Linked DNA regions of Astyanax mexicanus. The protein of the gene in region 1 interacts with the protein of each later gene in a pairwise test. Links are inferred from orthologs where the notes say so. Each region holds a gene or a part of one and is shown on either strand. Other genes may lie near its edges.

What was found.
Region 2: the proteins of nup62l (region 1) and xpo6 interact in binary tests that used the Homo sapiens proteins (3 or more experiments, as listed by UniProt). The link is inferred for Astyanax mexicanus from reciprocal best matches to the Homo sapiens genes NUP62 and XPO6.
Region 3: the proteins of nup62l (region 1) and fabp3 interact in binary tests that used the Homo sapiens proteins (3 or more experiments, as listed by UniProt). The two-hybrid records come from large-scale screens. The link is inferred for Astyanax mexicanus from reciprocal best matches to the Homo sapiens genes NUP62 and FABP3.
Region 4: the proteins of nup62l (region 1) and filensin interact in binary tests that used the Homo sapiens proteins (3 or more experiments, as listed by UniProt). The two-hybrid records come from large-scale screens. The link is inferred for Astyanax mexicanus from reciprocal best matches to the Homo sapiens genes NUP62 and BFSP1.

Annotation. Positions count from the first base shown.
Region 1 is NC_064417.1:1,308,186-1,315,881, forward strand, and holds the start of nup62l (nucleoporin 62 like), read left to right. Parts: upstream 1-4,687; 5' UTR 4,688-4,813; intron 4,814-5,581; 5' UTR 5,582-5,598; coding exon 5,599-5,909; intron 5,910-6,774; coding exon 6,775-7,028; intron 7,029-7,656; coding exon 7,657-7,696. Other genes in the region: cnga2a (cyclic nucleotide gated channel subunit alpha 2a), read left to right, coding at 512-619, 969-1,075, 1,248-2,668. UniProt on the Homo sapiens protein: Essential component of the nuclear pore complex. The N-terminal is probably involved in nucleocytoplasmic transport.
Region 2 is NC_064426.1:39,391,177-39,399,028, forward strand, and holds the start of xpo6 (exportin-6), read left to right. Parts: upstream 1-4,835; 5' UTR 4,836-5,308; coding exon 5,309-5,311; intron 5,312-7,824; coding exon 7,825-7,852. Other genes in the region: antkmt (adenine nucleotide translocase lysine N-methyltransferase), read left to right, coding at 1,103-1,300. UniProt on the Homo sapiens protein: Mediates the nuclear export of actin and profilin-actin complexes in somatic cells.
Region 3 is NC_064410.1:50,268,642-50,276,210, reverse strand, and holds the start of fabp3 (fatty acid-binding protein, heart), read right to left. Parts: upstream 3,008-7,569; 5' UTR 2,879-3,007; coding exon 2,806-2,878; intron 627-2,805; coding exon 454-626; intron 1-453. UniProt on the Homo sapiens protein: FABPs are thought to play a role in the intracellular transport of long-chain fatty acids and their acyl-CoA esters.
Region 4 is NC_064414.1:2,560,457-2,568,352, reverse strand, and holds the start of filensin, read right to left. Parts: upstream 3,011-7,896; 5' UTR 2,878-3,010; coding exon 2,480-2,877; intron 1,278-2,479; coding exon 1,217-1,277; intron 214-1,216; coding exon 118-213; intron 1-117. Other genes in the region: mypn (myopalladin), read right to left, coding at 5,712-5,869, 6,221-6,354, 6,594-6,759, 7,555-7,762, 7,850-7,896. UniProt on the Homo sapiens protein: Required for the correct formation of lens intermediate filaments as part of a complex composed of BFSP1, BFSP2 and CRYAA. Involved in altering the calcium regulation of MIP water permeability.

The DNA.
Region 1 (7,696 bases):
AAGCATCAAAACTACACTGAGGTATTATAATACAGTTTTATAATAGATATTATAGTTATAATTATATTATATTATAATATCTCAGGGTGGATTTAATAAATAATTAATACTTGAGAAATTATAATACAGTAAAAAAAGGATCTAGTCTTCAGGTGTATATTATACTACACTATTATTACTGTCCCTTTCCTAAAAATACCAGTTACTGTAAGTACCAGCAATTAATAAATGTAATATTTTTTAATCCATGATTTAGTCACATAATATTGTCGTGATTAATACATGACATTATTTTTAAGCGATTGGCTCCAAAGATACAAATTTTGTTTGTTTGTTTCTAACAATGATTCACATTTTATTCATATTTCAGCTTAGTCTTATAGAAGAAAAAGTGTGATTATTCGTCATTAATCATGGTATTCAATTTTAATCAATTTACAAAATGCTATACTGGTCATATCTCAGTTATAATCTTTAAAACTAAGATTTTTTGGGGGGGATTCATCTACAGGAAGAAGTCAGACGTATTTGTCCTCGCAGCAGCAGACGACTTGTATTACCACTGGCTGTTTATCATCGCCACCGCTGTGCTGTACAACTGGTGTCTACTGGTGGCCAGGTAAAAAACACCTGTCTTATTCTTACCTGTCTTACTGGTGGTGATTTAAAATGTTAAATATTTGCTTAATAGAAGGAATAAATATGTATTTCTAAAATTATACGAACAACAATTCAGTAAAAAAAACATTTAAGCTTTTAATACAGATCTGCTTTAGAGCTGGCCTGGTTGAGATGTTCCCTACATAGAAAAACAACAATTTAAGAGCTTCAAACCTAATGAATCGAGCAGGTCTAATTTAGATACTCATTTTTATGCTGATTTATGTAAATATCTGCAATTGTGCCCAGTGCAAAGGGGCATTTCCTGTGGCAGGCTCACAATTTAGCCATTGATATTTCAAACACAGGGCCTGCTTTGATGAGCTTCAAACCAACAACTACATTGTGTGGCTGGTTCTGGATTACCTCTCTGATCTGGTCTACATACTGGACACCTGTGTGAGACTGAGAACAGGTCAGAAGCCTCGGTCAACAGTCACAACACTCAAAAGTCTGAAAAAAAATTGCATTTATTGAAATAATGTACTAAATGTTGTACTTTTGGTTCTAGAAATGATTTTATATTGTTTTTTAATCACCTGAATCCAAATTACAAGAAAATAATTACATGAATTTCCACACCGCAGGTTACCTGGAGCAGGGTCTTCTGGTGAAGGACCTCAAAAAGTTAAGAGACACCTACATCAGCAACCTCCAGTTTAAGCTGGACCTCCTGTCCATCCTGCCCACAGACCTGGCGTACATCGCTACTGGAATCCACGTACCGGAGCTGCGATTCAATCGTCTGATGCGCTTCTCTCGGTTGTTTGAGTTCTTTGATCGTACGGAAACTCGCACAAGCTATCCGAACACTTTCCGCATTGGAAACCTGGTGCTCTACATCTTGGTCATCATCCACTGGAACGCCTGCATCTACTTCGCCATTTCGAAGTCTCTTGGCTTCGGCTCAGACCAGTGGGTCTACCCTAACATCTCGGATCCCGAGTTTGGTGCTCTCTCAAGAGGCTACATCTACTGCCTCTACTGGTCCACCCTCACGCTCACCACCATTGGCGAGATGCCTGCACCAGTGCGTGACGAGGAGTACCTCTTCGTGATCTTCGACTTCCTAGTGGGTGTCCTCATCTTTGCCACCATTGTTGGCAACGTAGGAGCCATGATATCCAACATGAACGCCACACGTGCCGAGTTCCAAGCCCGCATCGACTCCATCAAGCACTACATGCAGTTCCGCAAGGTCAGTAAGGAGCTGGAGGCTCGGGTCATCAAATGGTTTGACTACCTGTGGACCAACAAGAAGGCAATCGATGAGCAAGAGGTGCTCAAGAACCTTCCCAACAAGCTTCGGGCGGAAATCGCCATCAACGTGCACCTGGAGACTCTGAAGAAGGTGCGGATCTTGCAGGACTGTGAAGCAGGGCTCTTAGTGGAGCTCGTTCTGAAGCTTCGGCCTCAAGTCTTCAGCCCGGGCGACTACGTCTGTCGGAAAGGAGACATTGGGAAGGAGATGTACATCATTAAAGAAGGTCGGCTGGCGGTGGTCGCTGACGACGGCGTGACGCAGTTCGCCCTCCTGACTTCTGGCAGCTGCTTCGGCGAGATCAGCATCCTCAACATCAAGGGCAGCAAGATGGGCAACCGGCGCACGGCCAACATCCGAAGCATCGGCTACTCGGACCTCTTCTGCCTGTCCAAGGATGACTTGATGGAGGCGGTGATAGAATACCCTGATGCCAAGAAGGTGCTGGAGGAGAGGGGCCGAGAGATCCTCCGGAAGGAGGGACTGCTGGAGGAGCTGAGGGCAGGGGGGCTTACAGGAGAACAGATGGAGGAGAAAGTGGAACGACTGGAGACGTCCCTGGATACCCTGCAGACCCGCTTCGCCCGGCTGCTGGGGGAATACACGGCTACACAGCAGAGACTCAAACAGAGGGTCACCACTCTGGAGAGCAGGATGCAGCTTTCAGGCAGCGGGTTTCTGTCCGATGGTAACGAGAGCACTACCGATGGTGACGGCACTCACAGCGAGGTCAACATTCAGCTCTGAATGGAACTGGGTCTTTATTATGGGTCTTAATTCCATGATTATTCTAGACTCAGGGAGAACAAGTGGCTCAGAGGCTTGTTGGTTAAAGGAGAACTCTGGTGTAAAATGGACTTTTGTTGTAGTAAAACATGATAAAATATTCTTTCCTTTGATGAATAGCACACCTCCGTTCTCCCACAGCGTTCAGAGATCCAGACATTTTAACAGTTTGTCCAAACACCCTTCAGACTGGGAGATACGGGGCAAAATTTGCCTTGATGAATCACTTTTTACACCGTTATCCAGCTCAAAGTAGCTCCACACCTCCTCACTAGAATCCGAAGAGCCCTGACATTTAAAACGAGGCATTAATAACTTAAGGTAAGTACTTTTTTTTCATGTTTTACTTCTCCAAAAGTCCATTTTACACCGGAGTTCTCCTATAACACATTTCATGTTTTTTCCATGGTATTCCATGTCTTCGTGTCTGGGTTTCCTCCCACTGTCCAAAAACATGGTTAACAGGTTAAATGGAAACTCTGAATTGCCCTGGTGTGTATACTGTATGTGTGGGTGTAATTATGTATGAGAGTGTGTATGTATGTTTAAAACTTTTTAGAGCTTTTGAGACATTTTTTATACTTTTGCTAATTTCATTTTATAATAGTCTTTTAAGGACATCTGGAATCTGAAAAGGCAAAGGCTATGTTTAATGTCATTAAAAATAGATGTCTTTAGTGTCCACTAAAGCTGATATCCATATTTTAGTCAAAAATGTAAATAGCTCAGTGTTTTTAAATAGGTCAATAAATCAATAGGTCAATGGGTCACTTTATATGAGTCATTACCAGTTGGAGACAATATTTAACAATAAAATGTTTGTTTTGGGTGAAGACTGAAACATGTAAAGGCTGTATATATGTATATAAACTTTGACTTGTATTATTGTACTACATAAACTTTGAAGCTGATTTTTGTTTGAAACACAGATTAAAGATATTGTGTTTTAGTTTATTTCGTACTTTGTTTCTCTGGTCTTTGCTCCCATCTCACAAAAACACACATACTATGTGAAATAAAACTGATAAACCTGTTGCATGTGTACGCAGAAGAACATAAGAAGGTGGGTATAAAGAAAGAACATTTTAGTCTATGAAAACTCGTCAGAAAATGGATTAAAATTGAAATGTCAATATTTCAAATAATCAAATATCATCAAATCAATATTTCATTATAGCAGCGCCGCTGGACTGGAACATTAACTCCCCTTCGTATGATTGGAACTATTCTTTTCCATTATTTATAGAAAATATCGTTTGTAATTAAGCCTGTCTCCCAAATCACACACATACATTTTTTAAAATAAACACTACACAATAAATACACGCTAAATACAATTAGGTGGGGTCTTGTGCAGTTTGGGACACAGCCCTATAGTCTATATGATTTTTTTTTGTATTTTACCTCTGCTTTAACTAATACATTTTACTTTTTATTATTTTTTTTTTATTTGCATGCACTTGATTTTTTTTAAATATAAAAATACCAATATTCAATATACCAAAAAGACAGTTTAGTGGTCTCATAGTAAGCAAGGGAATAAATTGAATAAGAAAAAAAACGTAAAACGTACCTTATTAGGTACTTTTATGCAACTTTTAGACAGATTTTAACTATATTAATTGCCTCATTTAATTTTTGACAAAAATTTAAAGAAAACTACCAACCACTACTATACAACTCTTAATGTTTAATGGAAAATATATAAATATGTGTTTGTTTTACTCTTAATAGTCTAACGCATTCAAAGTTGAATTTTAAATACAGCTAAATTTGATTTTATATATATAAAAAAATATATTTACATTATTATTATAAAACTCTATAAAACGGTATAAAGAGAAGAGCCTTTATTTTAAACAGGCAAACGTAGGGGAAACTCCGGCTCGATCACAATTGACTCCCTTCCTTTATGCTAGGGACTGTTCTAAATGCGGTTAACAGCCTTTATTAATGGACTATGTAGTTCACTATGTAGGCAGCATGAAGCGTTTGAGATGTGCCCTCTGGTCCTGCGCAGTGTCAGTAGCGCCGCGCTGACGGACTTGTTTTTCCGCGCGAGGAGTTTTACAGGAATGGGATCCGGCTTTCTGCACTTTTTCTGAGGTAAATCAGTTGTACTGCTGTTTCAGGATTTATTCTCAGTTACTGCAGAGTTTATTATTATAGATTAAATCACATCAGCAGGAGTGTTTAGGTAACAAGCTTAACATTAGCCTAGTTCACTTAGTTAGCGAGCAGAGCTAACAACATAGCTAAGCTAAGCTAACTAGCGAAAGCATGACTAGCTGAGAGCTGAGCCGGGTAATTACTTTACCTTATTTACTTTATTTACCTCAACACAGCAAGAGTGTGTGTTTATCTCTAGCTTTCTATAAGTCTATATCTCTATACATATGTCTATATGACTTTTATACACACACACACACACACTGTGCGTAGATGGAGAGAGATAAGTCCCTTTAAAGTGTAAATTTGGTATAAACAAGAACACAAGCAAAGCAACAGCACATAAAAACATTAGAAAAGTTAATAATATCTAAATCATATTAAATAATATAAAATAATTAAAATTCCATATTTAGTAATCTCAGGAAATGTACTATAATCTTATTCAGTTCTTTAAGATGCTGTCAATTATCTGGAGACGATAGGACATTGGGACAGTCAGCAAAATTGGTGGTATTATCTAGCCCCCATGCCAGACTTGAATTATTTTGTAAAATTTCTCTTATAATTTATAATAATCTTATAATAATAATAAAGTCAACATTGAGGGATGTACTGTAATAAATCATGAACAGGGTTGCTTTAAAAGAGACAACTTGTTTTGTAACGATCCTATTTATTAATATTCTTTATCTAATATTTCAGTATTTAAAGAGAGGAAGATGTCCTTCAGTTTCGGACAGGCCAGTGCTGGTTCTGGCTTTACTTTTGGAACCCCTAAAACTACCAGCTCAGCTCCGGCTGCTGCTACAGGTTTTGGACAGCTGACCAGCACCCCGGCCGCAGGGGGCTTTACGTTCGGAGCCCCGACTCAGCCTCAGGCCCAGCCCCAGACCCAGGCTTCCATCGGGACGTCTCAGATCGCAGGACTGCTCGCTCAGCCCGCGGCCAACAATGGAGCTTCACAGGGGGGATTTAGTTTCGGTGCTGCGACGCAGAACACCGCTCCTGCTCCTGGAGGATTCTCCTTCGGGTAAGACTTTTTGTACAGGTATTACTGAGAGAAGACGCTGTACTGATAGATACAGGGGTTGGAGAATGAAACTGAAACAGCTGGTTTTAGAGCACAATAATTGATTGTGGTGACGGACAGTTCTGGTGGAAACAGGAGAGTTGAGGTGCACATTGAATTCTGCGTGATTTGATCAGCCGTGGTTTTATGTTTTTTGGATACAATCCGGGTTAGCACCCGAACATCCCTTTCAGACAGCTTCCTCTTACAGCGTCCACAGTTAATCCTGTTGGATGTGGTTGGTCCTTTACCCTGGATACCGTGGCTCTTGATGCATCACAAAGACTTGCTGTCTTGGTCACAGATGCTCCAGCAAGACGTGCACCAACAATTTGTCCTCTTTTGAACTCTGGTATGTCTCCCATAATGTTGTGTGCATTGCAATATTTAGAGCAGAACTGTGCTCTTACCCTGCTAATTGAACCTTCACACTCTGCTCTTACTGGTGCAATAATGTGCAGTTAATGAAGATTGAACACCAGGCTGCTCCAATTTAGCCATGAAACCTAAAATCCCACACTAAAATGATGACAGGTGTTTCAGTTTCATTATCCAACCCCTGTATGTCTACCTACAGTGGCTTTTCAAAGTATTCATACCCCTTAAACATTTTAACATTGTGTTGTCTTACAACCACAAAGTTAAATGTATTTTATGGAGATTTTAAATGATGGACCAACACAAATTAGCACATAATTGTAAAGTGGAACGAAGATGATCGATAATTATAACATTTTTAATCAAATAAAAATTTGAAAAGTGTGATGTTATAAAGAAGAATGGGGTAAAATAATTAAAATAATTTTAAATGTTTTCTCACTTCTAGTGCACCCACTGCGAAACTAGGCCTGGGCCTGCCTACTGCCTCTCAGCCTGCCAGTACTGGAGTGTCTCTGGGGGGTCTAGCAGCACCTTCCTCCACTGGAACAGGCTTTACACTGGGAGGTCTTGGTGCTCAGACTACAGCCGGAGCTCAGCCGTCTACAGGAGGCTTCAGCTTCGGGATGACCAAAGTTCAGACCACTGCAGCCCCGGCAGTGCAGACCACTCCCGCCCTGTCGCTGGGTGTGCAGCCTACAGGTCTGTGGTTTATCCTGATTTTAGGATTAGGGGTTGGCGATATAGCCCTAAAACAATATCACTATATTTCATGGCATTTTCGTGATAACAATACTCTTGGCAATATGAAAAAACACTTAATTAAAAAAAATATATTGTCCCTATTCAGGACAGTACCAGGGGTCTGCATGGGTACAATTAACTTTTATTTTATGTTCTGGCAGAAATCATTTATATAGCTATTCAGTACTTGATTATTTTGTGATTTAAATATTGGCTATTGGATTCTGAATCAGTGTTTCTGATTTTGCTATTTTAGGTGTATTTTGCGTAAGTTACAAGAAAAAGATTTAAGAGTTCAGAAATCAATATTTGGTGGAATAACCCTGTTTCTTTATGCATCTTAACATGTTTTCCACCACCAGTCTTACACACTGCTTTTGGATAACTTTATGCTGCTTTACTCCTGGTGCAAAAATGCATGTAGTTCAGTTTGGTGGTTTGATGGCTTGTGATCATCCATCTTCCTCTTGATTTAAATTTGGTAAAATCAAAGAAACTCATAATTTTAAAGATTCATACAGTTTTAATGACACCATTCTTTTCTTTTCTCTTTTTTCACCCTCTCCTCTTTCCTTCTGTTGGTCAGGTCTCACAAGTACTGCACCCGTCTCTACAGGCCCTACTCT
Region 2 (7,852 bases), on another chromosome or scaffold:
TTTTTCTGAAATAATAGGTCTATGCTTTTTCAGTGTTGCAATGTTAATTAACATAATTCTGAACAGATTTCGCTCATTCAAACAGCCTGAATATATTCTAAAAAGCTCTAAAAAAATGTCAGGTTTAAATCGGGCTTGGGCTCATAATGATAGTTTATGGTGCAGGTTGGCTCAGGCAGAATATTCACAAGCTTGATGGGCTGAATTTTTTGGGCCCAATCTAAGCTCTACAGTCCACATGATCCTTAAATTTTTTAGTGATGATTCTGTATCTTTCAGGCTGTCCAGAAATGCATGTTGAAAGCAAGTCTTCTTGTTCTGTAATTATTTGTTTAATGATTTTTAAAGGATGTTACTTAAAATAACAAGGTATCCAATCACATTATCTATTTTATTACCAGTAACAGGGGAATACTACATAATACCAAAACAGGTAAATTAAAAATAGTACACTATTTAAAACATTGTTTTAAAAAAATCATACTACAAATTCCACTTCCTAAATGTAGGGGGAGCCAAGGAGCAAAATTGGCAATTCTCACATAATGCTGCTTTAAGTCAATGAAGACTCTATTTAACACGTTTTAGATGTTTTTAACAAAACCAAATATATGTTCAGTATCTGTCGATACACGAAAGTAATAAAGTATTAATTTGTGCCAGAATAAGGTGGTATCATTAAAGGGTCTAAAAAAATATCAATATTGCATTGCACCTCAGCATTTTGGTTTGCAATACTGAACAATTTTCAAAAACAGAATACATTTTAATTACTACTATACCTGTAGAAATTGGTGTCAGAAGTGGTTGATTTGTTGTGTTGTGTTTAAACCCCGCCCCCTAGATAACAGTGTTGTACTCTGTCGTTAGATCCCACTGTTCTGATTGGATAAAAAATAATGTTTTCTGTTACTCAGATCCTTTCTAAATGTGACTTTGTTTTTTATAGTATTATACTATGATACACTAAAATTGCTTGCAGTATATTGCAACATATCACAATATATTGAATTGTAAGCCCTATGTTGCACTAAGGTCTTGCCAGATCACATCTCTGGTGTCATGCCACAAACAATGAACTCTATTATCTTTTGTCCGTTAGCTCACACTGTTACAGGAGAAACTGCTGGTCGAGCTCCCTGAAGATGCTCTGATCATCGCTGGACGCTTCCCCTTCCCTGATTGGACGCCGTGCAGGATAGAGGGTCAGGGCGTGGACAGAGCCTGGGCATATTCTATAGAAGCAATCAGAAAACAGAACCAATCAAAGGACATCCAATCATCCGAAAAGAGCAGCTGAGACTGGAGAAACAGATTTTAATGGAAAGGACGGGGTTTTACACATTTTATCATTTTATCACATGGGTATTTATTGCTTTAATGATTGTTTTATGCGTCATACTGATATGAAACACCATATTTGCTTTTGCTTTCATTTTGAACACCAGCCACAGACATCATAAACACTTTCTGATTTGAGAATCAAAAGTTTTAGTGGAACTGTTCACACAGAATCACAATCAAATGCCATTTATAAAAGTATTTATAAAATATAGTGAATGTACATCTCTAGTTGAGTTCATTGTAGACCATTTTCTTTCTCTTCTTGACAAGTTATGGGTGCTAGAAGCTATTTTATTTATTGCTATTTTATTAGCTATATTAAATTATAGTACTGTATACTAAAACTATACATTTCTATTTATGTTAGGTTTAATCACTAATATTTAACAACTGTACTCCTTAACCATTATGGCTAATCTGCCATTTTGGAATTCATAATAAAAGCCCCTGGGCAGATGTATACTAAAACCAGTGACTGTATAGACTAAAATGATAAATAACATCCATTTTAAAATTATATTTAAACTATTTTATTTCATTTGGACTTTACTAAGTAAACATTTGATCAAAATATGGTCAAATATCTAAATTCTGTTCATATTTGAATCTCATTTTAAGGATTTTAAGCAGAGTTTGAATGTTTTATTATTATGACAGAGCAACATATTTCAGCTATTAATGTAAAAATTTAATTATTGTGACAGGCCTAGGTACAGGAGTATTTAATGTACACAGATTTCATATGATATTTTGTGATTAATATCATGTTTTTACGCTATATCAGTTTGCTCAAAAACAGTATTATGCTCAATAGTGATAGAAAAAAAATATGGGAAAAATATGGGTATTTCTCTATTCCATTTATTTGATAATTTGATAATGGTTTATTTTTAATTCTTTAATGCCTGAATCTTGTGAATACAAGTGCTATGTTGTACTAACTAACAAATATAAATAACGAGATCACAAGAGAAAATGTACAATTTATAAATGATCATAACAATGCTTCCTTTGTGTTTCACTCAGACTAGCTGATACGGTTCTTCTTGTATCAGACGCATAATGCGTAGATCACAGGATAACACACTTGAAGAGTTCTCTCAGCAATTGTGGGTTCTTTTTGAAGTTTTGGAGCATTCTGGTCACTTCCTGCTCCTGTATGTGACCTAGTTACCCTAGCACACATGCTCAATCTTCTCATTCAGTGACATGTATCTGAAAAAGAATGGCAAAAATAAACTAATTTGTTTGTGAGTGCGATCCTCATCACTTCCCCTTTATCAGAGACAAAAGATCAGTTTATGCGTGTATGATTGGCTATTCTTTTTCAAAGCTCCATGACTGTAGAAAGAGCAAATTCAAAGTTTGTGGGTTGACAACTGGTAAAATATTGACTATAATGCAAAATTTCTAGATCATAATGCTAAATAATATGATAAATGATGAGTGCAGTGAGTCAGCAACACCAGTCTAAGGGCATTACAGCTGAGAGCTCAGACCTAGTGCTTGTTACTTTTAGAAATGAGAAATGAAAACATGGGGGTTTCCTAATTTCCACAGGTCAGGCTGATAATGTGTGGATTGTTCTTCTGATTAAGGCCTCTCTCTCTCTCTCTCTCTCTCTCTGGTCTGAATGTCACCCCTCAGGCAAAGTGAGAATGAGCTAACTCACATGATCTTTCTTCTCTTACAAAAGTCCTTAAAACCTTACCAAGCAAGGATCAAACAGAGTACACAAGCTCAGTAGCATTGCAACCAGAAGACATAATAATAAACCACCATGGTTAACATAAAATAACATATCATAAAATGATGTCATAAAATAATGATAATACAAATTAAAAACAAATCGTTTTTTTAATAGTTTTCAGGATCTTAAAGGCTCTAGCATAGATGCAAGGTGAGACAATCTACTGCGCGGTTGAATATGGGGTTTACAAATTCCACATGGCATCCTGCAGCACATTTACCCACAGATGTTGCTACAGCTGGGCCTGTAGATCCTGTAGCTCTACACTCGTAGGTAGAAGCTGAAGGTGGAGTCCCAGATATGCCCTTAGACCATCAAACTCAATTTTAGTAGTATAAACAGCTAACTAATGAATTTGGCAGTGTAAATAGTTTATTAGGGTTTTAGTAGTATGAGCAATTTATAGTGATTTTAGTAGTTTAGTCAGTTTATTAGTGATTTTAGCAGCATAAACTGTTTATTAGCGATATTATTAGTGATTTTAGCAGTATAAACTGAGTTAGTATAATATCCCTGGTGTGCTTTGGCAGTATAAATTTAGTTTAGTAGTGATTTTAGGTGTATAAAGATTTTTAACAGTATTAACAGAGTTTATTAGTGATATGACTACTGATTTTAGTTAGGATTATATCACTGGTGTGTTTTTAACAAAAGAAATCGAGTTTAATAGTGATTTTAGTAGTATAAATTTAGGATTATTTCACAGGTGTGATTTTAGCAGTATAAACTGAGTTTAATGATGATTTTAGCAGTATAAATAGCGTTTATTAGCGATATGATTACTGATTTTTGTTAGGACTATATCACTGGTGTAATTTTAGCAGTAAAAAAATGAGTTTAATAGTGATTTTAGTAGTATGAAGAGATTTAGGACTCTATGATCGCTGGTGTTCGCTGTCTATTGTGTTCAACTGCACTACCTCCATTTTACATCACACACACACACTAAAGACTGTACTTTTATAATTTCATTTTATTGTTTATTTTGTTGTATTTATATGTATCATTTATATATTTTTTTATCTTTTTGTAACTTTGTGTACTATACTCACCTGCTGCTGGATGTCAAGAATTTCCCCTCGGGGATCAATAAAGTATCTATCTATCTATCTATCTATCTATCTATCTATCTATCTATCTATCTATCTATCTATCTATCTATATATGATTGGTGTGAATTTAATAAGGCTTATGTCACTGGTGTAATTTTAGTGATTTTTTAACAGTATAAAAAGTTTATTAGTGATATTAGTGATAATATCACTGGGGTATTTTTTGCAGTATAAACTAAGTTTAATATTAATTTTAGCAGTTAATATCACTAGTGTTTTTTAGTTAGGATAATATCAATGGTGTAATTTTAGTGCGTTTAGTGTGTGATTCTAGCAGTATAAATTGAGTTTAATAGTGATTTTAGCAGTATAAACTAAGTTTAATAGTTTTTTTAGTGGTATAAACAGAGTTTAATAGTGATTTTAGTGGTATTAACAGTTGGGATAATATTACTGGTGTGATTTTAGCAGTATAAACAGAGTTAGGATAATATTACTGGTGTGATATCAGTGATTTTAGTTAGGATATTATCACTGGTGTGATTTTAATTATTTTATTTAGGATTATATTAGCAGTGTGATTTTAGGCTAAAGCTGCTGCTGTAGAGACCGAGCTGCCTGGTTGTGCCACACTTCTTGCTGCGGCCGGTTTCATCCGGCCCAAGATTAAGATTTCACATCCGGCGGGGAGGGGCTGTGCTGGGGCGGAGAGAGGAAGCTGCGCGGCCTGGGCGAGAGAGCAGAGCCAGCGGCTGTGTTAAACTGCAGGCGGGGGTCGGGCGCTGTTCTCCTGGGCTCAGAAAAATCTCCAAAACGCGTGTGTGGCTGTTTCGGTGTGCCGGGGCGAGACGCTTTATCCAGGGCCGCGGTGAGCGTCGGTTAGTGGGGCTTGACACGAGCTCAGTCCGCCCCTCAGCACCACCTCCCCGGCCTCCACCGTAACAAGTGTCGGCTGCGCTTTCAGCGGTACCAGGCGAGGCCCTGCGGGACTGGGGTGAGCGGCATGCCGTGTATCGGCGCTTATAGACGGTAAGAGGGGGAACCAGAGACCGCAGGCCCGGGAGCAGCGATGAGGAGCCGGGTAGGGCGTCTTCTTTTCAGCCTGTAGCCGCAGATAAACACGCAGCAGCCCGGAGAGAAGACCACAGCACACCGGCTGGCCATGGTGAGTGGACTAGAGGGTGCTTACACACTGTTTTACTGTTTATTTGAGCCATTTTGGGTCAAAACAATCTAAAAAGCAACAAATTCACAAATTAGAGGATCCTGATAACCTGTGTGAGGCAGGGCTTGAGCTTTGTGGCCATATTTTAGCTAGCTATAACATTGTACCCCCTCCTTTATTGTTGCAACATTATCTAGCCATAGGTTTAGCTTGGTTAGTTATTGTCGTGATTTGTGCTAAATCTGAGCCTTTTAAAGCTCAACAGCTATATATGTTATGAATTTGGACTCTGTTATAACGCATATGAGCTGTTAAAGCTTAGTCATGTGGGAGTGAAGGTGATAAAAACGTTTCTAGCTAGCTTGGTTATGTTTATCCTCAATTATATTGAATAACATCCTTTATCATTGATATCTCATAACATTAAAATATATTTTAATACCCTTAAGCATATGGATAATATATTTAAGCTAGATTTCTTTGATTAGTGCTTAAGAACACCCAAAAACAAACATATACCCATCCCAAACCTTCACAAAACTCAACAAAAATCAACATAAGTGATCTATCAATGGTGTTCTATGGAGATGTTTATAGTTATTTCTTGGACACTAGTAATGCCACTAACAACAGGAGGGTACAGGCCAGCATATATGCCTCAATATATGCATGTTTGTGAAGCCATAACTGTGGGAGTGCAAACACACCAGACAGCTCTGGGAGAGCAGTTTAGAGCTATTTCAGACCCAAGTTTAGTTTCATTATATATTAAGTAGTTGTATCTATTTTTAGTCAGTAGTATTATATGGAGATATAATATATCTTGGACATGGTTGACAGCATATTTAGTTGGGCTTAGAACCATTTTGATAAAATGAGTATCATCTACACAATCAACTCTGTCTTTTAGGTATTGAAAGGACCACAATAGCCCTAAAACGAACATATAGCCCCCACAAACCTTCCTAATGCCCACCAAAGTAACTTTAATCAGTGGTCTTATATGGAGAGCTCAGATGTTGATTGTATCTAACCATGTCTTGGATATGGCTGAGAGTATATTTAGTTGGGCCTGGAACCATTGGAAAGATATCAGCCCCATTAACCTAACCTACCTGTATTTCAGGTGGGAAGAAGAACCATAAATATCCATTGCATAATGTTGAGAGGTTGCGAGACAGTAAGACCAACACTAAGGGTCATATCCTCACCAGAGGAGGATGCTTCTTAATCAATATTGTTCCTCAATATTGTCCTCACTCTTCTCAGTTCTGTAATTAAATATCACTGGAAGAAAACCTTTACTTAGAGCATATTTTTAGTTGAAAGAAAGAAAACAAGCATACACATCATCAAAACAGAAGCCCTACATCTGGGAGTGCAAATGTACCAGACAGTTCATCGCTTAGAGATTAGAGAATGAGAATACTTAGCATCAGCATCAAGAAATGGTTTAGAAGCTATACTGTATGTTTCAAAATTACACACCATGGCAAAATATATATATTTTTCATGTTTTATGCAGCTTAAATAGACTGACCCCAAATAATAACACCCTTAATGAACACCAAAATGGGTACAGCTCTTTTGAAATGGGTTATTATCACATATAGTTCACTTGTTTATCTCAACAAATTAGAAAATGACACTTAAAATAGAGCACGAAAGAGATGTCAGTCATTTTTTTCAGAGATGTTAAATATTAAATCGGGTCAAGATGACCCAAAATGATAAGGAATAAGTCCTTTAGCATCTCTGAGGATGCATTAAGTCTTCATGGCCGAAATTTAACTCTATTTTTCGGTATTTTAGATATTTCAGACTCTTCTCTCATGGTTTTAAGCAAAATCTGAGCATCTGCAAACAGGCAGGAACTACCAGACTGTGCTATTGGTTTATTAGCGGATGGCAAGCTGGTAAAATGTTTCTGAATTATGTTATTTTAATGTAATGATGCCGTGGTCCACATAATGGTCTAGATTAAACCAGCTCTTGGTGGTTCCCTCAACTCCGCCCCAGTGGAGGTATGTCAAGACGTGTCGAGACTTATACGAAGAATTCAGATAGCAGAGAAAAAGAGAGAAGAAACACACACACATACACTCTGTTCTTCCTCTAATTCTCTTCCTCCTTTTCGCTTTTATACTCAGGCGCACATACGTAGGCCGATGGTGTGTGAACTTGATGTACTAGAGAGGTTATGAGGAAACTGTGTGGTGGCTTAGTGTCAGAGCGATGGCCTGCACTCTTATCACTTACTTATCATGGCATCTCTCGCTCAATCTCTCTATCTTTTTTTCTGCCTTTCTGTTTTGTATTCTGTATTTTCTACACCTTTTTATTTTTTTGTTTGAATTGAAATGTCTGTACATCTGTCTCTCTGTTTGTCTTTATCATTCTTTTATGTTTCTGCTTTTGACATTCTGGCTCTGTTTCATTTTTGTGCTAACTCTATTCTCTCTCTCTTATTCTCTCTCTCTCTCTCTCTCTCTCTGTCTATCTATTGCATGTAGGCGTCGGAGGAGGCATCCCTTCGTGCTC
Region 3 (7,569 bases), on another chromosome or scaffold:
AATCATAGTGCAGTGTAAAATACATAATTTTAGTACACACAATACATGGAAAAAACCATTGTCTACTGTGAGCTTTGCCTACCTCACCTAGTCTCAGCTACAAAACACTGGATGGAGCACAATTATTCCAAAACGCTCGATGCTGAAGGGTTTAAATACCACTCTAGACCAAGTCTGGCAACAGGTTCATGTTAATCTGCTATTTTATTGACAGTACTTCATTACAGGGACTAGTAAAAGTAGCTGAATTCATTTTCATTATATAAAATCTTCCTGTAAACAAGCACTCTTCAAGTAGGGCATGTTTATATAAAGCAAACATTTTAAAATTAGGCAATGATAATGACCTACATCCATCTCGCATTTTAGACAACACCCATATCTACAGAACTCTTTCACTAAAAGCATGCTGGAACATGGACTTGGCATTTTCTCAAGAACGCATGCCTGTACCTTGACTTTACGATCATCTGCTGTGGTCTCGTCGAACTCTTCTCCCAGTTTGAAGTTGATTTCTGTGTTCTTGAAGGTACTGACTGTCTTTAACGTGATGACATCACCTTCCAGGGAAATTATGGTGGTGGGTTTGGTCATGCTGCCAACCTGACGTGTTGCAAAGCCCACACCTGGAATACAGAATACAAAAAAAATCTATTAACTCATGCATATATATGATACATATGGTCAACTTTGAAAACTTAATGTTCTAATGTTTTGGCTGTGTGTTTTTTTTTTTGTACAAACCTGAGCACACATGAATGTTTAGCTAATAACACTATTTCCACATTAGGGGACAACAAAAACACCATGACTGAAAGGACCCAGAATCACATGTTCCTGTTCTTGCAGGAAATGGTTCTCTCAACTGAGCTTAATATATTCACACAGACAGAGCCCAAGGCATGACTGGAAAGTACATATAAATTAAACATATTTCCTCTGTCCCTCTCTCACTGGCTCACAACCACCCCCCACTAACATTCATTGGGTTACTCATGGGTGAACATGTCCCAGCAGATGACCAAACTCTGGAACGGTCATAAGGGTCAAGGTAACACTCACAGACATGCACACACAGACAGAGCAAGCTGTTCATATTGATCTGATTGATTTGTTCTGTAAATACAGTGGGTCAGTGTGGGCAGGGGTGACTCTGACCTTCTGATAGAGACAGATGTTTAAAAGCAAAGAAGCTAAACTAGCTAGTTCTTGCCCCACCCAACTCCCCACCACACCATCAGTCACACAGTAATTCCCACCATTCACTTAAGGATCCTCCCTAAAGCCCACCACAACCCACCCCCCCGCTTCTCTTCTCTCTAGGCCTCATCCACACACACACACACACACACACACACACTTTATGGACTGAACAAACGTCTATTGTGTGCATTGTGTGAAGCTTGTGAGTGATCAGTTAAGGCAGAGCACTTGCTGTTGCTGCAAGGCGTGGACATGTCAGGCCTAATGTCCCTCTCCTTTACACTTAACTTATAACTGCAGTCAAGCCGAAGTCAAGTCGATACAAGCCAACCTGAAACACTGGTCTAACAAATATAATCATAATCAATCATACTTCCCATTTCAGAAACATGAAGATTATGATGGAACCAATGGGAATAGGTTACAAATCATTGCACATGGTGTATAATATTACATTACTTAAAAGCATCCAGGCACTTTGGAAACTCCCTTTTTTTGCATGCACTCAAAAGCATGACTCACTTTTAACACACTCATATTCCAGAGATTATCATCTAGAGTCATTATTGTCAGACTCATAACTGAAAAATACAAAATGAGATCAAGGTACTATCTTGTTATTTTAACACTAATTTATTAGTCTGAGCTACTATTCATTCGTTTTTGACATTAAATATTTAATTTGAGATCTCATTTCAAGACACTAAGTCATTATTTGGAGATACTATCTTGATATTTTAAGACACTAATAGATTAGCCTGAGATACTAATTCATTAGGTTTGAACAATTCTCATTAGCGTAAGACGCTACATCTTTAGTTTACAATACATCTTTGGTAAATGAAATTTACACTAATTTATTAGTATGAGATACTAATTCATTATTTTAAAGACACTAAAACATTGAGATACTTCTTGTAAGATACGTAGCAAATCATTGTTTAAGTGAGTCTCACTATAGTAAGATACTGATTCTTTAGAAATGCTAAAAATACTATATAAAAGATCCTCACTTTATTGTGTATTATATATAGCAGGTTGTTATGCTGAGGAAGTAATTATTTTGAGATTTGTATTCAGGCATGGGCGTGTTGGGCCTAACCTCCCTCTGCTTTACTCTTTAACCTACATCTGCAGTCAGGCTGGAGTCAAGTCGATACAGGCCAAGCTGACACACTGGATTTAACACACCATAACCGAGCTCTCGAGCTCTAACGAGAAACGCGCAATCACTGCTGCTGCATGCATACAGCATGCACGTGGTGGGCACTGCTAGTGCGTGGGTGCCAGTCAGTGCATTACGATACATTTATCTGCGCATGCAGCTCAGATGTAGCTGGCAGAACCAGACAGGGGGATCCTCCCTCCTTCATTCATTCATCTTTTCATTCATTTATTTAACGTTATCTTTTCTCTCCATCTGTCCGTGCATCCACCACACACCTGCACATGCTCACGCGCTGCCTGTGGACAATTCTGCATTAGAGATAACCCGTGCAAACACACAGAAACACGGCCTTTTTGTTTCTCGTTCATGCACATCGCCACGCGATCACGATCACGAACAAGCACCTGCTCGCGCCCCTGTGTAAACATACTCACCCAGGGCTTTCATGTAGTCGTCGAAGTTCTTGCTCTCCTTCAGGTTCCACGTGCCGACGAAAGCCTCAGCCATGTTTTCGGTTTCAGAGCAAAGCAAAGGAGCGCAAGATGAGCAGACGGACGGAGCGAGTGGGAGAATGAGCGCGTGAGTGATGGAGGGGGCAGAATAAACGAGGCACGGAGAACAGCTACTCTAATCTTACTGGCTGATTTATACCGGCTGTTCCTAACGTCACCAGCCTGAGAAGGGGCGGGGTGGAGGAGGAGGAGAAGATAGCGGGAGGAGGGGGGGAGAGGGAGGAGGACAAAGAGAGAAAGAGAGGGAGACGAGGAGAAAAGAGAGAAAGAGAAGAGGTTATGGAGGGAGGGGAATGTTGGGTGGGATTGTGGGGGATGGTGGATGGGAGCTGTATTGAGAAACTGTGTAAGAATTAAGTAAAAGAGCAAGAGAAGAAGCTTGTGTTACTGAATGCAATCAAGTGCTCACAGCAATGAGTGAGCAAACCTAGTCCAGGACTAAATCTGCATTCAGAATACTGTATAAATACTCGTCTAAGACTGGGCTTAATCCCTATTTGGGAAGTTGCCCCAAGTGTCTCAAAACAATAAATTAATATCTCAAACTAACGAGTATCCCAATGTAATGGCTTAGTATATCAGAACAATGATATAGTATCTCAGAATAATGATGTAGAATCTAAAACTAATCAATTACTTAGTCTTAGTACCACAGCATGACTGTGTCCGTAATAAACCCTAAAACTTTATGGGTCGCTCCTATAAGACTATAGTCCTAAAGGACAAATGGAGGAATGTTGAGTGGGATTGTGGGAGATGGTGGATGGGAGCTGTCTTTAGAAACTGTGTTAGAAATAAGTAAAAGAACAAGAGAAAAATCTTGTGTAGCTGAATGCAATCAAATCCTCACAGCAATCCACATTCAGAATGCTGTATCATGCAAGACTGCGTTCGATCCCTATTAGGGAAACTGTCCCAAGTTTATCAAAACAAAAAATGAATATCCCAATGCAATGAATAATGTCTTATATTAATGAGATAGTATGTCAGAATCAGATTTAGAATCTAAAACTAATCAATTACCTAGTCTTAGTACCACAGCATGACTGTGTTCGTAATAAACCCTAAAACTATATGGGTTGGTCCTAGAAGCCTATAGTCCTAGATTATATTTTCTTTAAAACGTAAGAGAGTATTTTAAAATAATGATTTGGTGGCAGTTTTCTGGACTGGAATTAAGCCTCCTGGACTATATAGGATTTTGAATGGAGCTTTTCCATTAAAAGCCATTAGTTCAGGACTTAACCTTGTCCTGGATACTGTCCCTTAGTGTATCAAAACAATAAATTAATATCTCTGCATCATGATTTTGTATCTATAACTTATGTTTTAGTATCTTAGAATAATGAGAGAATATATAAAAAATAATCATTCAGTTTCTCAGAATAATTAATTAGTATCTACAACCCATGTCCACAGCATGACTATGATCATGAAAAGCTATATTGGTTATTTTCAGGACAGGGGTTGTGTTCTGTTCATGTCAGTGAGTAAAAATCCAAGTGTAGAAGCAACAAAACCATTTAAATCTGGGAGTGGAGAGAAAAAAAACACATATAGTAAGCAGAAGGTGATAGAACAGACAGACAGACAGATATCTTATATAAATAGCTTAATCCCTATCTGGAAAACTGCTCCTATCAAATTTTAAATTTTAAGTTGATAAATCTAAGTAATAACTCAAAAAATATATACAAAAGTCTATACAAACAGACAGAGGGAGGGGGGGGGAGGAATGGTGGTTGGTGGGGTGGTGGGATGTTGGATGGGAGCTGAACGGAAGAATTAAGTAAGGGAGGAAGGGAAGGAGGGACAACAACAGCTGTATTAACAGTCGCTGTGCTTAATAGTGTGTGTGTGTGAGAGAGAGAGAGAGAGAGAGAGAGAGAGAGAGAGAGAGAGAGAGAGAGATTGTTCAAGGCCTGTACAGCAACATGCCCAGGCTCTTATAGAAAGATAGGAAGAAAGAAAGACAGAAAGAGAGAATGTGGAGAAGGAGGAGAAGAGTGTGTGATTTAGGGGTCAAGGTCAAACGGTCAAACAGAGTCATGCAAAAATCACTTTCCCATCAGCCCTTTACACAACATGGTCTGTTAACCTCATCTCTGTCTCTCTCTCTCTCTCTCTCTCTCTCTCTCTCTCTCTCTCTGTGCTCAGGCCTCTTTCCCACCCTCAGCTCAGTATTTTGGGAGAGCCTGTGCTCTGTTTATCTCAGTCAGTGAAAATCCAAGTGTAGAAGCAACACAACCTTCTAAGACTGGGAGCGGATAGACAGACAAAAAGACATATAATATAGCAGGAGGAAGGTAATTTTTCTTAAAACACTTTCTCATTATTTTAATAATATTATAATATATAATATTATATATTATTATAATATTATAATATTTATAACTTAATAAATAAAATAAGTATTGGCAGATATGAGCTCCCATAAATAACACAATAACCACAACACACAATTGTGGTTCATGTTACCATGCAGAAAAACGTATGTTCTCATTGGCTGAGGAGGTGGAGTTTATATCATTTTTTGCAGGCCAAAGATCCTCATGGGACAGCTATCACCTGCAAAGAGAGATAGTAGATGTAGTTGTTCTAATTGTGGTTGGTGTTACTTACTCCAAATGCTCCACAGGTAATACTACACCTCATTACAGAGTCAGCTCCTCCTCCACAGCACAATGATGAATGTACACAGCAGGCAGCTGACCCGGCTCTGACGAGAGCAATTGTCCTTTGATTCTATCTCTCTCTTTCTATCTCTCTCTGTCTCTCTCGCTTTCTTTCTTTCTTTCTCTCGCTCCTTCTCTGTTGGGTGTCCTTTGTGAAATAGTGTGTATGTTTAGGCCATGTTGTTATCATAACAGGGTCTTAGATCTCATTATAAGCTTCTGAATTATTTATAGTGTCTGACATTCTGTAAGAAAGCAGATGTTGTGTCGTTTGCAGCTATTAGCAATCATCTGTTCCTGTTTGTTTCTCTGAGTGAACGGCTTCCTGCTGTGGTCAGCTTGGGCCGGACCGCGGGGACTGACAGTTTCCTGTAAAATCTGTAAAAAGTGATTTTATCAAGAAAGATCAATACAGAACATATTCTGTATGAGTGATTTCAGCAGAAGATGAAGTCCAATAAGTCATACACATCTACAACATCACTCTCTATTTCAGTCCACCTCAGACCAGTGCGCTGTATTAACGCAGAGGTGTCACCTATTAAAGAGATGTGACTGTGACTAAGACTGTGACTGTGGTGTTAAAATGAATTCCAGGAAGAGCACAGCTATTTAGTGTTTAATGTTTTCCTCCTCTAACACACTTTATTCAGCTCATAAACGACTTGGAGTTGAGCTGATTAACTGCTGTAGTGTGTTTATTAGAAGCCCTTTTTTAATTTCTTGAAAAAATGTTTACACTGACATACCAAAAGACAGCAGAATGTAAACTGATCATGAAGTGTTAACTGAGGGGACCATTTGGGAATGCCCACACCTATAAGTTGTGAGGTATTAACTTGTGAGTAAGGCTTTGTAGTGGGTGCCAGATGGATGAATCTAATAAATATCTAATAAATCTAATAGACACCCGTCCCTGGACAGTAGAGACAGTTATTCCAATAACAGCAGGATAAACTCCTTTTAATACCCTTAATTTCAGTGAAACAATGCATGAGAATATGTCCCAGTACATTTGTAAACTCTCAATTTCTGAAGAAAAATAAAATAAATATTGGGAATTTAGAGCATAAACCAACATGCAAAAAAAAAATTAAACCAGTGGTATTTTAATTAAGTATGTATCTGTTTTTCAGCCCAAAAAACATAATCATTTAAAGATCCATAGGCAAGTCATCAACAGTATGCCGTGCAGATTGATTTAGGGCGTGCTAGTGAGTCTTTGCTATCATAACGACAGGAAAAGTACGCCTTGTGCGACTCAAAATATGCAAAAAGCATGTACTAATTCTCTTAATTAATCAGGAGTGTGTTTTGGGCATAACATGCAATATTATGCTTTAAGAGTCAGGTGCGCTCTGACTGGCGGATTGCTATTTCAGTGGTGCAGCTACCTGGATGTGTTCAGCGCATCTTAGCAAAGGACAGTGACCTGCTCATTCATGCTGTAAGGTACATGGAACAGCAGAAATCCAACAAAGATCCTTGAAGTTGTATTTTGTAAAGCAATTGTATTTTGTTTATTATTGATGGAAAAGTGGAAAGGTCTGGCTGTTGACATCTGTGTAGGTTGTTTCCAATCAGTGGAGCACCTGTGTTTTCTGTTGCCAAGATCACTAAATTAGATCACTTGTCTTTCATCATCTATATTTTTTTAGGAGTGGGAGGAGGTAGATGAAAGACTTCTTACTTCTTAGGAAATTGTCTCTCTCTCTCTCTCTCTCTCTCTCTCTCTCTCTCTCACACACAAACACACACACACACACACACACACACACACACACAGATGTACTTTATATCTTTCACCTGCATTTCCTGTCTTAGCCAATCTGTTATTTAGCATGCTGCCACATACATTTTGATGGTCTTCTTAGGAAACTGTGTGAAGTGTACACACACACAGTGGGTACATTTCCCCTGTATTTCCTGTCCTTTTTATTATTTAAGTTTATAGACTGGTATTCGTGTACACATCGTCTATTAAAAGCAGTTAGACACTTTTGTGTCTACC
Region 4 (7,896 bases), on another chromosome or scaffold:
ATAATTAGGCATAATGTGGTACTGATTACTGATCAGACCTGTCACAGTAAACTGGGTGTGGTGTGGGCGTCGACCAAGCTGTCGGCGATCATTTGCCGGCCACGTTATCCTCTTTACCTTTTTATGTCGGTCTCTTGTGGAGCTGATGTCGTCCTGCAGGAACTGAGACTCAATCTGATACTCCAGGTTCCTCAGAAGCGCAGAGTCGGCCTCCTGCAGATCCCAGAGCAAAAATTACAGTCAGAGATCAACACAACAAACAACACACACAACTTTCTCAGATTTAGAAACCTGTAAGAAAGCTCTGCTTCTGAGAGCTACAGCTAATCTGTAAATAGTATCTCTCCTTAACTCCAAACATGTCAGCAAGGTTTCACATATTTAGTTCTTTAAATGACTGGATGACCTGCATTTTTATTTTTCTCTTTACAATTTGGGCTAATTGGCACCTGATTAGTGTAAAAACAAAGAATTATCTTTTTATATGATGTAGTTTCTAAACAAATAAAAAAATAATGTCCACATATGAGGACGTTTGGTTTATATTTCAATAGAACACAATGAAGTCACAATCAGTAATGATTTGCAAAACAGTTATTTTGTGCCTAAACACAGCAGCATTTTTGCCTGAGTGCAAAACAAAAGTAGAAACAACAATTGTGCCCCCTTTGAGCAACCTGTCTCATTTGAAGTGCTGCTTCAACACGAACCGACATAACAAAGGAAAAAACATAATTATTTACTGTATTTACTGTTTGTTTTAATTTCTTCACAAAAAATCGAAAGGCCTATATAGAGCAAAATTTTAAAAAGAAATGTGACAGCAGGTCCTAGGAGGTTAAAGAGGCACTAAATTGTGTTCCATTGTAGCAATTTTTTATACATTTTTATAAATCTTTGCTGACCTTTAAAAAACACTTATTTTAGTTATTTCTGGCTCTGCAGCGCCATCTCAGGTTCAACTGTGTAAGAAAACAATCAATAATAACGCCCCTTGATGATATCCAATCATCTGGGTCTCACTGCTCTCAGAGGCACACACTGGTCAGTCCAATCAGCTTTCCTTTCTGTCCCGCCCCTAAACCCATACATCACCCAGTGCCCCTTCCAAACTACTCCTCCTATTTTTCAGCATTTTTCGAATTTGAGCTGAGGTTGGAGTCCTCAAAAATTAAAAATCAGGGAGTTTATTTATCCTTTAAAGACACTGTCGTACCTTGTTGAGCTGCTCCAGCGTCCCTCGCAGATGTTCTTGATATTCACACTCGTTTCTGTATCTGTGGGAAAAAGACGGTTATCAGAAAGCAGCTCGACCAAGTGATCCACCCTAAACCAAACCGTGACTTCACATCTGTGTGTGAAATTCTCTGACAGCATATGCATTATTTTATACACTGTTTTGTGTATAAAACAGTAGATTACTCAATATCCTCAGCTGAAGAAAGGAAAACTGAACAAAACTTCTGTGCTGAATAAGAAACATGAAGTAAACAATATGATGCAGCAAATAAGATCCTCTCTCTGTTCCTTTCTGTTTATCTGAATTTTCTTATCTTAAAACAACCTGTTTTAAGAATTATGCCATTATTTCTTCTTTTATTAAGTTTGTTCTATTAAGTTTGTATTACTATAAATATATGTTGATGCAATGGACTGTATATTTCATTATTATTTTAAGGGTGAGACTAATAACTTTTTTTTTAAGATCACACCTACCAAATTTCTCACCATCTCAGAAGTTTTTTTCTCTAAATGGTTCAAATGCTTATAAATCATATATCAAAATTATGACCTAATTTTTCACAAATAGTTATTAAAATGTCACGTAATGAGTGAGGATTGATTATGATTATCTTATGTTTTTTACTCATGTCTAAACACTTTCACTTTGTATATCTATTAACTTGTTTTCTTCTTTTCTAACTTTAAATTGTGATGGTATTTATGTGTAAAGAATACCCTGTTATCTTCTTTTTTCTGAATGGTGACTGATCTTATGATTTTAAAGCATTTTAAAGTATCAATTTTCTTAAAAGAATTCCATTTTATTAGTATTGAGGTAAATACAGTGAGTTATATTTTCAAAAAGTTAGATAAGTTATATGTTAAGAGCGATGTTTCACTTCATTTCAGCATAGTAAGTGCATGTAGTAACTATGCAATTACTTTCTGGACAGATATTTTTTAAGGTGCTCTGTGCATGTATTTAAACATGATTTTTTTTTTATCTATTTTTTTACTGCATGCTTCATGTCTGTAAGTTGTATTTATTTTTTGTCTATTTTTTGTAAGTTATATGTGTGTATGGTTCTAGGTGTGTATTGTTTTGCTTTTTTGTCTATGTGTGAGACTAATTTTAATGTGTCATTATTCAGGTAATATTATATTATTGTAATTATCTTTTATTATATGATAAGTAATATTTAGTAATAACTTATGAATAAACCTTTAGGTGCTTGTTGTTGTTGTTGTTGTTTACCTGCTGTTGAACTCGTCCAGCATGCGCTCGGCTTCCTTCATCTCGCGCTCCAGCTTGGCGCGCTCGGCCTGCAGCTCCCGCATGCGCTGCCGGTTGACGCTGATCTGCTCGTGGAAGGCCTCCTCCAGCCCTGCGGCCTCCTCCATGCGCTGCAGAGTCTCCAGTTGGGCGCGGAAGACGGCGTTGCGCTGCTCGAGGACTCGGGCGCGGTTGATGTAGCGAGCGAAGCGGCTGTTGAGCTCCTGCAGGCTCTCCCAGGCGGGCAGTGTGGCGCGGGCGCCGGCATGTCCGCGCTGGGCGGCCTCGGCATCGTCTTCAGGGCTGCCGGGGTCCTCGAACACGTCCGTGCGCTCGTACTTCTTTTTGTGCACCTCGTGCTTGTAGGTGGTCTTGAACATGGCTGCGCTGCTCTTTCAGTCAGTGCTCGTGCCCTCAGCACCTTTAATGTGTGAAAACTGGGCTGCTCACCCTCGGAGGGCTCATGCTAGACTGACCGCTGCCCGCTGGGCCCATCCGGCGAAATAGCTTTAAAAAAAAGGAAAAATCTCTTTCCCCTGCTCTCGATTTTGCGCTCAGACCCTTCCAGTCACCATTGTGCACGAGGCAGAAATAAAGCAGGGCTTTGCTGCGTCAAACAAACTATTGTGGTGCTTTTTGGTCTCCGCTTTACAGCGGCTCGGTTCTGTGGAAAGTTCGGCCCCGGCCAACAATGAAAAACTGCACGAGCTGCTCTTCTGTGAAACGATACAATAAAACAACAGAGAATAACCCGACCTCACCCTGAATACCTGCAGCAGAGACACCAAACAAAGCCCTTTGTTCTCCCACTGAAAGAAGCTCTCTCTCTGAGCCGCGGTGTGTTTATATAAAGATCTTTAAAAATCTTTAACCCAGAGTCCCAAACAAGTCTACAGTCTTTTGACTGGAGTCCAAGTTAAGTCAGAAATCTGTAGGCTGGAGTCCAAGTTATATCACAAGTCTTTTGAATCAAGTCCAAAGCAAGACACAGGCTAGACTCCAAGTCAAGTCACAAGTCTATAGGCTGGAGTCGAAGTCAAGGTCATTTTTTATATTTTTATATTTTTATAAGTCTTTAAGCTAGACTCCAAGTCAAGTCTCAAGACAGTGAAGTCACAAGTCTTTTGACTGGAGTCCAAAACAAGTCACAAGTCTTTTGAATAGAGTCCAAAGCAAGACACAAGTCTTTAGGCTAGACTCCAAGTCAAATCTCAAGACAGTAAAGTCACAAGTCTTTTGACTAGAGTTCAAGTCAATTCACAAGTCTTAAGGCTAGAGTCCAAACAAATCACAAGTCTTTAAGGCAGTGTCCAAGTCAAGTTATCCATATTTAAGCCAGAGTCAAAGTCAAGTCACAAGTCTTTAGGCTAGACTCCAAAATAAGTCACAAGTCTTTAGGCTAGACTTCAACTCAAGTCACAAGTCTACAGGCTGGAGTCCAACTTAGACCCAAGTCTTTAAGGCAGTGTCTAAGTCCAGTCACAAGTCTTTAAGCCAAAGTCCAAGTCAAGTCACAAGTCTTTAGGCTAGAGTCCAAAACAAGTCACACGTCTTTAGGCTAGACTCCAAGTCTAGTTACAAGTCTTTAAGCCAAAGAACAAGTCAAATCACAAGTCTACAGGCTGGAGTCGAAGACAAGTCACAAGTCTTTAGGCTAGACTCCAACTCAAGGCACAAGTCTATAAGCTGGAGTCCAAGTCAAGTCACAAGTCTTTTGCACCTTGGATCGGATTCCACAATTTGCTGGCATTTAACCCAACCGCCATTTAATTTACTGACCTCCTTTGATATAATGATATAAATTTGATACAAGAATAACATTTAGATTCACGTTATGTAAAAACATGAAAAAAGATCAGTGTGACAGTGACAACATTAAATGAATGTATAAAGTTTGCTTTAAAAATAAAATTTTATTAATTAATTTGCATTGCTACAATCCATGATTTTCCACCTCATTTTTGAGGTCAGCCACACACACATACAGAAATTTTAGTTCTATTTATTTCTTCATTTTAAAGTTTTGAAAATCAATAAAATCCATATTATTAATAATTTCACCATATTTGTACATAACAAAAAAATCTCAAACTCAAAAAAGCTGATCAAAATCTGTTTTACACAGAAAACACACATATAAATACATACATATATCCCAAAGCCATAAACAAAAGAGCAATGGCTGCCTGTGTTCTAAAATCATACTGTGTGAATGAAGTGTAATGTGCTTTAAAGCATTTTTATATTAATAGATGTTTTACTAGTGCCCCCCCCCCCCCCCCCCCCACTGCAAATCAGTCATATCACTCAGGCTACGTTCACATTACCAGGCTGAAGTGACTCAAATCTGTTTTTTTTTTTTGCTCAATGTTGCTCAGATCTGTTTTTTTCATGGCTGTGTGAACGTGGCAAATCAGATTTTTTCAAATCAGATTTAAGTCACTTTAATATGTGGTCGTATCCGTATTAGCAATAGCATTAGCGCTACGTGCTTCTTTCTCGTACCCACACTACATCTATTGGTGTAGCTGTGCAGCTATAGCTGCGGAAAAAAAACAGCAAAAGCAAACCGCCTGGCCTTTTTTCACCTCCTCGACCTGAGCATGAACTTCAGACCAGCTGCTTCCTGTTTCTCCACTCCAGCAAAAGATGCTCCACATATGAGCTGCTAACATTTCCCTTTATAAAGCTACGAGTCTCTCCTCTCTCTAATATGAGTTTTTTTTTTTTGATTGTTGGTGAAGAAGGAGACGTTCATACAGGTATTAATGTGAGGCGCATGTGAGACGGTGTTTCAGGAACAGCTTCGTTCACATTACACACAGATACAGATCACTTACATTTACAGTGAATGTGAACCGTCAAGATCTGAGCAAAAAATCTGATTTGAGCAATGCGGCTTATAACAGGTAATGTGAACGTAGCCTAAGTGTCTTAAAGCAGAAGCTAAATGAACATCCTGCTCCTTAAGTTCTCAGAATTCAGAGTTTTAATGTTATTGTAAAAACATTATTGTTTCTGTTCGCCAGTTTAAGGTGAAAACATGCAGTTTTAGAGACAGTTCTGTCCGTAAAATAATACAGCAGATTAGACCACAGGCACCCAAATGCTAAACAACATCTTCTGAAAAAAATAAAAATAAATATATCAGATGCTCTCAGGTGATTTTTTTAAATTTATGACATGATTTATGATTATTGTAAGCAGGTGGTTTTCAGAGCTCCTCGCTCTCTTGAGTAGATTCTCCTTGAGAAGTGTTGAATATCGCAGGATAAACTGGTTTATTATTAAAATCTCCAGTTAGTGCAGCAAAGTGACTTCCAGTAAGTGATGGTTTCCTGATGGGTGGATGGACCTGTTGATGCCACTGAGCTACAGAAAGAAAAAACTGGATGAAATCCGAACCATTGCAAATTGCTTTGCAGATATTTTTATTATTTACAACATTCTTAACCATTAAGATTTAAGAATGTTTAAAAATGTCTTAACTAATGTCAATTAATACTTGAGACATCACTTAATCCATTAATAATGTTTATTACTGTTGTAAATAAGTGTTAATATTTCTGATTCACAGTTACATAAGACCATTTTTATATAATAAAAGTATATTACACACACTGAACTGAAGTTTGAACATTTCTGAATAATTCTGACAGGTATGAATTATTGAATAACATTAACATTAAAATCTACAATGAAAAAAAAGAAACATTCACCCACCATAAATATCTAGTCTGGCTGTGCATGAAATGATACCACTATCATTTTTTGCAGACACCGTGTACCAGCCAGCATCCTCTTTCCTGGTTGGCTGAATAAGAAGGCATCCGTATCCTGTTGTGTCTTGGTGCAAACTAGATTAAAAAAATTATAAGCAAGAGTAAAAATTTAACGTATACAAGAATTTTTCATAAATAAAAAATTTGCAATATAAAAAAAAATCAAAAATATGTTTTTTAAACATCTCCCTTGAGGGCCGGTTATTATTTAAAGTCATGTCATATTCATAGGTACAGTGTGTATATACTGTACACTGTAGTGTTCTCTATTAAATAGTGGTTTTATTTCAGTTTTTAGAGTTTTAGAGACTCACCTGAATCTCTCTGTCGTCTCAGACAGAGTTTCATTATCTTTCTTCCAGAAAAACACAGGTGGGGGCATGCCGACTACCCGACATTCCAGCCGGACTGGCGTTCCCTCTGTGATTCCGGAATTCTGCAACTTTTCCACAAAATATGGAGCTTGTTTCACCTCTTTCTCTGAAAAACAGTAAAAAAAAAAACAGTGTTTATATATGGTGCAATATATGGTATTAACTGAATAATTCACATACTGTAAAAAAAACAAAACTTATATTTGTTTTGCGTAATGTGATTTTTAAATCATCTGAACAAGAAATATTGAACTGTATGGGAAACTAAAGCAAAATAATTACTATATTAATTCAACTATTATTATTATGTTTTTTTGTAAAAAAGTTGAACAATAGTTGATGACGAGCCAACTTCTGTGCACTTTACAGCACACTGCACATGCTCAGTTTGACTCCCCAGTTGAACAGGGTCTACTGAGCAATTATTCAGGGGTTTTCACCTGATGTTGGTCATGCTATTTGCATATTGGGCGTGTCTTCCCACCTCTCACTTACTGTCACTGTGTAGTCATTCCCCACAGGCTGCTGCTGCTTCTCTTGGGGTATATATACTGTATATATGTGTTATATAATAGTTAACTATAGCCTGATTTCAATGTTGAAGGCTGTAAGAGTAAGTTACTGTGTAGAAATAGAAATACAATTATTAAAAAAGTGTAGTCACCCCAAAGGTCACATGCGTACTAAGAGGTAAAAATGCTACACTTTTTTATGCAAAATACCAATTTTTTTTTTTAAATTCACTGTGTTCATTGATGTTTTTCAACAATTAACCTTTACTAGCATCCAGTAGAAGCGTGAAAATGTTTTTTTAACTGATTTATTTCCTTGTTTTTGTGGATTATTGTGTATTATTATAGTATTTTTTGACGCACGCGAATCAAGGTGATTTAATTCTTACCGACAACGCTGAGCGTGAGGCAGATAGAACTCTGCCCGGCTTTATTGGAGGCGATACATGTATACGTTCCAGCGTCGTCTTTCGACAGAGGATCAATAACTAGAGAGTGAACCCCGTTTTCTCTGACCAGCATCCGGTGAGTCAGATCCGGACGTATTGGTTTTCCGTTCACCAGCCACATCATTTCCGGATGGGGGAGTCCGCTTACCTGAGATTAAATAAAACAGTTCTGTGAGAATCTTAAATTCATCTGAAAACTGCACGTGTTCATATCAGCACTGCGTAATTAATGTACCTTACAGTCTAACCTACAGAGCCGGCCCTCGTGAGACACCATGTCCC